Linked DNA regions of Mytilus edulis. The main gene of each other region encodes a partner of the protein of the gene in region 2 in a complex. Links are inferred from orthologs where the notes say so. Each region holds a gene or a part of one and is shown on either strand. Other genes may lie near its edges. The genes, in order: histone-binding protein RBBP4 and protein lin-9 homolog.

The links.
Region 1: protein lin-9 homolog (region 2) and histone-binding protein RBBP4 share a complex: the UniProt entries of both Caenorhabditis elegans proteins name them as parts of the DRM complex. The link is inferred for Mytilus edulis from reciprocal best matches to the Caenorhabditis elegans genes lin-9 and lin-53.

Annotation. Positions count from the first base shown.
Region 1 is NC_092353.1:79,520,834-79,524,770, reverse strand, and holds the start of histone-binding protein RBBP4, read right to left. Parts: upstream 2,832-3,937; 5' UTR 2,759-2,831; coding exon 2,695-2,758; intron 1-2,694. Other genes in the region: ralBP1-associated Eps domain-containing protein 1-like, read left to right, coding at 3,240-3,389. UniProt on the Caenorhabditis elegans protein: Core histone-binding subunit that may target chromatin assembly factors, chromatin remodeling factors and histone deacetylases to their histone substrates in a manner that is regulated by nucleosomal DNA.
Region 2 is NC_092350.1:21,150,316-21,154,252, reverse strand, and holds the start of protein lin-9 homolog, read left to right. Parts: upstream 1-1,166; 5' UTR 1,167-1,181; coding exon 1,182-1,233; intron 1,234-2,472; coding exon 2,473-2,507; intron 2,508-3,371; coding exon 3,372-3,473; intron 3,474-3,937. UniProt on the Caenorhabditis elegans protein: Synthetic multivulva class B (synMuvB) protein. SynMuvB proteins are required to repress the induction of vulval development by Ras signaling and probably act by forming the multiprotein DRM complex that represses transcription.

The DNA.
Region 1 (3,937 bases), on a different chromosome or scaffold from region 2:
TTTTTCAACTAGAACATGTAAAATGGCGAACTTCCGGTTTTGGCTTATATAATATCGGAATCAATTTCCAAAAAAAAAATTGCCAACCTATTTTTTAAAAGGATGTAACTGGAACCACACTTATATTTTTATTTGGCCTCAGATGTATACAAGTACTCCTCAGTTTCTTTCATATTTTGGCAGGTTCAGTCCTGGATGCAAAAAGTTAATTTTTTACCCCTGTATATACAGTGATGTCGTTAGAAGCCGGCAGCCGGCGATTTTCGCCGGTTATTGTGCTTTTCCCGCCGGCTATTTTTGCATGAGTAAAAAAAATTAATAAGATAAAAAAGATAATCAGGTTAATATTAAAAAATAATTGTTCAATGCATCAGCTTCCACGATTAAAGTCCGATAAACAAGGATGTAAATCAGTGTTTACCTTTGACTAAATATAGTTCACGTAAATGCAGTCCGCTGATTGGTCGTCTATTTAAAGTCGGTAAGTATTGTAATGTTTGCAAGGATAAAAAGAGAGACGTTCCGATGGACATTATGACCCTGTTTGGTTTTTGCTTCAAGAGGCTCAAGAGAAGGAATAAGCCAAAGATGACAATAGCATGTTATGGAAATTAATATATCAGTCAAATAAAAGAAAGTATAATATATATAATGTTGTCAAGAATCTGGAAAACAGCACTTTTTGAAGTTCACATTTCAAAGCCCACGACCACGTGGTGTCCAGAGAATGAAGGTCAATAACGAAAGTAGAATATTGTCGACCACAAATAATTTTTAAAAATATCTTTTATAGTTCAAAAGGATTTTAGTTTACTGATTACTGAACAGTTAACAAATAAGAGAAAATAAAACGACATAGCTTGACAACATGTTTGAAATACGTGTACAAGTCTTATATGAGATAAAAGGGGGTCATTTGTCACTAAGTACGTACGCAAATAAATCGATCAAGATATTTAATAAATTCGATTATTTTTGAAATAAAATTATAATATTTCACCTATTATTTCACAGGCACTTGCCTGTGTATTATTTACATATATTCAAGAACAGACTTCCTTAGTTGTCTTACAAAAGACACCTTCCCAGAAAAAAATATAATATAGATTAGCCTTGCCAGGACTACGGATTCTCATTTAAAAAAAAAATCAATGTGATTGAAGTCAACAACAAAAATAAGACAAAATTAACATTTTTCCAAGCATCTAAATCACTCTCAGGTATGCTCAGAATGCAGGAATTTTAGTCTAAATTTTCAAATCTTTTTGGGGATAGCCAAGGACGTATATTATGTTAGTTATACGTCCTTGGGATAGCATACGATTTTATAAAATATAGCACCTCTGTAACAGTTTTAACTTTGAAATCGAAGCTCCAGCTGCCTACTAGTCAGTGAATATTGTTTTTAATTTTGTAAAAACAAAACCAACACTTTTTTAATATAAAATTAAAACATTTATAATGTTCTCAATGTCACAATTACAATTTTCATTTAAAACTAAATTATTCAAGTGATAATTCAAACCAGAGACAATATGTTTCTATTCAAACTAAGATTTTTGGATTCTTTCAGTTCAAAAATATTTACTAGCAGTCAACCTGCAGGAAAATGCACAAAAATGTATATTGGTCCATCAAGATGATCAATGATGTGATCACATGTACAGAAAATTTACCCATCATGTTGCTAATTTTAGTTAATCATTTACATTATCTTCAGTAAAAAATGATGTTTTCAGAGGTCTGAATAAGGGTCTAGGACACCCCCAGAATGCAGGATTTTGCACCATTTTAAAAAAAAATCCTGGGGCCCTTGAGCGGGCCCCAGACCCCCCGCCGTAGTAGCGACGAGCAAGCTCGTCGACGCGAACGGCTTTGCCGTCCGCATGTACTTGCGCTTATTTTAGAAATTCAGCCTGCTTCTTCAAAACTTAGTGACATCACTGATATATATAAATTTCTGTTATCAATTCATTTGTATTTCGTTTTGATAAGAGCCAAAGCACAGAATACTGCCAATTAATAATCATTTGATTTATTAACAAACAAAAAAATTCTGGAACAAAATTTTTAAAATGAAAATGAAAATAACAGAAATATAAATTTTAGTGCCTTCAAAGTTTTATCAAGAATAAACATAAACAAGAATTTTGAATTATTCCTGGACTTATATCTTATCTTATATCTTCTGTATTATGAAAAATAATGGGATCCCTCTTTTACAAAAGTTGATCCAAATATAATGACCCCCCCCCCCCCCACTTTTCAAGTTAAAGAACTTTTCTGTATTCTTTTCTGCAACATTAAAATGCCTGCTTAAATGTGTGCAAATATTGCTTGGAGTCTGGGAACCACAATTTGTCAAACAATTTCTTGAATGCATGCCATTGACATTGTGCAATACTATTCACTGGACATTCATTCCATCCAAAATTATAAGAATATAAGGTAGGTCCAGATAGCTACAGTTCTATAGCTAAACAAATGACTGTCGAGAGCTCTTGTCAGAGACTTTAAGGTCACCTCCCATTGGTTGTTAATGTTTTGTAGACCGGCCGGTCATTTCCCCCTTTTTTGTTTGTTTCCTTGTGTCAAGGGTAGTTGCAGTCTCACTTAATAGCAGAAATAAGTAAACAGCTTATGAAAGGTATAATAAAAATAGCTCATTTAAGGCTTCTGACAGACAATGTTTACCACCGTCTTTTTCTGTCATTTTCTTTCTTTCTGTTGATCTTTCGGCACAAAGACTCATGCGCATCAATGGCGCCAAATTTTTAATAATTTACTGCGATTCATTTTCTATAGTAAAAAAAATAAATTAAAGAAGCTAGCAGTTTTTACTGATAACTATTGTAATATGATAAGTAATTATTTTAACTTTATTTCAATATGATTATATAGATAGCTTATTTCGAAATCCAAGTAAATAAAGACAATATCGAAATATATTTAATTGATGCGCCACAGATTATTTTTTAATTATATTTTCTATTAATTCCGAAATGATCGTTTTGTACTCTGAATATAATATGCTAAACTTTGCATTATTTAAAAAAATTCTATTAATATTATTTCATTTCTAATTTTGTGAAGTGTGTATCACACTTGTAATAAATTTCCAACATGGTGGATAATCGTTGAAAACTTCCTGACTAAGTCTGTTTCACAAAATCTACTTAATTGTAGACAACTGACACTGTTAACATTTTGACATAGTACATATATGTGTTTATTCTGGCATGGAAGGGCTCAAACTAAGCCAGCAAGAACAACGAAATTATGGGGAGTTGTTTCAATTATGTGATGTTGATGGGACTGGCAGGATAACTGGGATAAAAGCATCTGAATTATTTCTGTCATCTGGTTTAGGACAGGATGCACTGTTGCAAGTAAATATACAATAGTATAAAATGTTAGCTGATACATTTAGATAAAGATGTTGCTAAGAACTAAAAACTTGCTTTAGCCTGATTGTGTGACAAACCTTACCTTACCTCTGTATCTTTAACCCCCTTTGTAGAGGAACCATACGCTAGTATGTATAACTTGTGGCTTTCTAATATACAGTGATGCCTCCACCAAATGCTTTGAAGTGCTGAGACTATATACACAGTGAGATCCTATCCACACACAATTATATTACAATTCCGTTATCCTGTATTTACAATGTTTCTGTGTTGATTAAAAGTCATGTCACATACTTTAAAATTCCTCTCTTTCTTTATGTATACACTGGTATCACATTTATACCCCTAACCGATAGATGTATTCTTTAAAAATTAGTATCGATCTTTAAAAATATCAACAGCACTATTCCATAATTGCGGTAAAAACGGTAAGAAGATAAAAGAATGATGAATGCCTCTTCCTCATGAATTAAAAGTTGTATTACAAAGTAATTATCTAAAAGTTATATTCATTTCTTCTAAAAGGTCCT
Region 2 (3,937 bases):
GATTCATTCGGAACGAATTGCATTACTGCAATATAGACTTGTGTCAATAGAAATTTCAATATGCTAACAATATTCGATATTTTCAGGAATAGTATACAACTGAATCCAGAAATTTTCATTCGATATTTTCAGGAATAGTATACAACTGAATCCAGAAATTTTCATAAGGGGGCCCACTGATTGCCTAGGAGGGGCCCGCTACAGCCATGCCTCAATGATTCCTTATATAATCAACTATGTTTTTCTTCAAATCAGCCGCCTCTGCTACTGCACATCAATAGTAAATAAGACATGTATTGGTGTCAATGTTAACCAATCTTAACCTTTTATTAAAATGAAAATTAAAAAAAAACCTTGATGAATAAAACAGCTTGCTTGCGTTCTGTCTGTCATGATTTTTTATAAATTGCCATGTACGTAATCGTTTTAAAAAAAATCGCTGCGTTCTTAATTATTATGTATGGGTTTACTTATATGAGAATTTTTTTCATATTCCTCAACCTGATAGACAATTACTGAAAGCCTTTTACTGTGTTTATTACCAACATGAATAATTGCCTTTTAGAAATAATGAAAATAGCTAACAATCACCTAGCTTCTAATAATGTGTGTGCGGAACATGGACTTTTAAACTTATCATTCTAATGCTTTTAAAGTTCAAGGGTGAATATAATAGTAAACCACATTCAAGTTATTTTAGCAGTTTTAACAGTTTGACAGAGGCGTATATTACAATTATATTATTATTGTATGGTATGTCTCTGATTTTATTCAGGTTTATCGATGACAGTTTACAGTATGGAAAGTCAGTCTCTGGAATGATATTGCTTTGCGATCCAATCTAAGACTACTAGTCTATAACACATGTGTTATAGTAGTCGCAGGATCCAATATCGAACATAAAGTGGTAGAAGATCTGCCGACTCTGATTAAAATAAATAATTAAAAAATATATTCAAAGAGGGCATGTCGCGTCGATGAAGGCGAGGGCCGAAAAAATTGTCTGTGACTTTGAGTTTAACTAATCAGAAGTCTTTTTGCGCGGGAAATTTGAGTTAGCTCCCCTTTTTAAATTCAAAAAGAGGCGCGACCCAAACATGGCGGATGATTCAGAAAGTGAGTTAAAATGGAACAAAGTTTAAATAGGATTTAGCAAATGTCACAAATAAAACCAACAAACCATGCATATAATAAATGTCCATTTGCATAATAATCTTAAAATTGGTTCAGAGGGTACAAATAAACACTAATTATAATCTGAACAGGAAAATCATACCATTTTTTTTTCAACAACGTAAAACTAAAAATGTTTTTTTTACGTCCAATGCACCAGACGATCATTGAATAAATTTATGGTTACTCCCTTAGTAAAATTTCACAAGTTTTGTTATAGCTACAATGTTGAAAGATTCTCTGGACGATAGCTGTGTACACTATAAACGTATTTACACTTAGGTATTTAGCTGAGTTTTGTCTTCAAATGCCCTTAGATCGCCTCCGAATCACATTTTGACGTCAAGCAACAATAACTTTTGTATTGTGATGTCAAAGTTTTTGAATTTTTATGTCAAAGTTTACGGGAACCTGTGTGATTCTACGTTTGTAATAGCGGACAAACTTGCATACAAGTGTAAATACATCTATTGCCGTCACCATACACCTTATCGCTAATCCTGGCTGACCCGAGAGTGTGTGCTGCTTGTCACTTTTCTATTGTGGCGTCAGTTATTTTGTATTATGACGTCAAAATTTTACGGGAACCTGTGTGATGTCCAGTAATGGTGGACAAATAGTGATAAGGTGTGTTACTCAGTATGACAATAATGCCATTAGTCATACATCTTGGTGATATTTTGGAAATCTGTCCTGCTTGAATTTTTTACGCCATACAACAATCGTCAAAATTCATGGGGAACTTTTTTGATGTCCAATAATGGCGGACAAATATCAATAAGATGTATCATTGCATTGAGGACCCTATCAGAATCATCAGTATCACTATTGCTGTATTGGGAAACTGCAACACTTGAACTTATGATGTCATTCAACAATCACTTTTCCTTTGTGGTTTCAAACATTTATACAGGAAACTGTGATGTCCAGTACTAATGGGGACAAAAACTGATTAGGTGTATCACAGACTGATATGTTAAGCAGTAGCTGATAACGCCTGTCTAGTACAAATATTATCAGACTAGTGCAGATGCACTGATGATTGCCTTGGGTCATTTTTGGCTACGGTTAAGGTCAAAGTAGTAAAAAAACTAAAAACATTATTGTGATTTGCCACAGATCTCAAATAGTTAGGTAGTAATGCATGGTGTTCAGTAGCAAAATATCTTACATGTACATGGTAAAATCTGTTGAACACCTAATAGCAACAACATGAACAATGTTTCTACATATAAATTATTATTTTAAGGCAGTATTTTCAAATTTTAATACTTATGTAAATATGATTTTGTTTTACAGATAGAGGAAATGCATACAGATCTCCAATGAAAAGAGTAAGTTTTACATATTGTGCACAAGTTTAACATTTATTTTGATTAAAAGTACATCGTTGACACCAAGATTTGACTTGCTTGCTATCAGATTTGCAATGGTATACATGTACTATTCATGAAAATATGGATTTCTTTTGGTATATACATATATATATAGAAATTTCTATTAATACAAGCATGATCAGTGGTATGACAAAGGGTTATCTTTAAATTTTCTTTACATTTACTTCCTGGAGAAAAATCATGCAAACAAAAAATGTTTATGGTAACTTTGAGAAATTTATAGGTCAACATAAGGTCTTTAACAATAGACAATAAAATTGAGAATGGAAATGGGGAATGTGCCAAAGAGACAACAACCTGACCATAGAAAAAAACAACAGCAGAAGGTCACCAACAGGTCTTCAATGTAGCGAGAAATTCCCGCACCCGGAGGCGTCCTTCAGCTGGCCCCTAAACAAATATATATACTAGTTCAGTGATAATGAACGCCATACTAATTTCCAAATTGTACACAAGAAACTAAAATTAAAATAATACAAGACTAACAAAGGCCAGAAGCTCCTGACTTAGGACTGGCGCAAAAATGCGGTGGGGTTAAACATGTTTGTGAGATCTCAACCCTCCCCCTATACCTCTAGCCAATGTAGAAAAGAAAAGTCTCTTTACAATAAGCTTTTCAATTGCTAGAAGTCTAGAATAGATGTGGATAAAGTTAACAGAAACAATAAATAAGTTAATAAGGTCAAAGAGGACTCATGATTTTTCATGCTAACAGATGTGAAGGTTTTATTGCCATTGGTGTTTTAAGAGCATAATAACATTTTAATGTAAGTGAAATGTGTGTATATTTTCTTTTTCTAGACATCAAGGATCAGGAAAAAGAATCAAAGATTTTACAATGATGATGAAGACACAACATACTCTCCCGCTAAGTCACCAAGGAAACAACCCAGAACTATTGCTGTCAGTATAATAATTAGTCCAATTTATTCACCGAAGACTATTAAATTCATGCAAAACATCATTTATGATGTAAAAAATTGTAAATAATTATATACATATAAATACAGTATGCTATGTAATAATAAAGAAGTGTAAACTTTTAATACCATCTGCCCTAAATTAGACAGCAGGGATCTCCATGGCCTGTTTAACGATGGCGCCCCGCCATCGTTCAAATGTCTTGCTCCATCGTTAAATTGTTTCCGCCATCGTTAAATTGTCTTCCGCCATCGTTCAAAACTTCATCGTTTTTTGCAGCCCGACACCATTTTTTTATCAATTATAATCAAATGCATGTAATTGCATAACCCTTAGGCTTTTTATGTTATATCCAATACAGTTCTAACGCCTGAGGGATATCCGGATTAAGATCGCTAATCACTTGTACCTGAGCTTGTACAGGTAGATCAACAAACCACACAGGA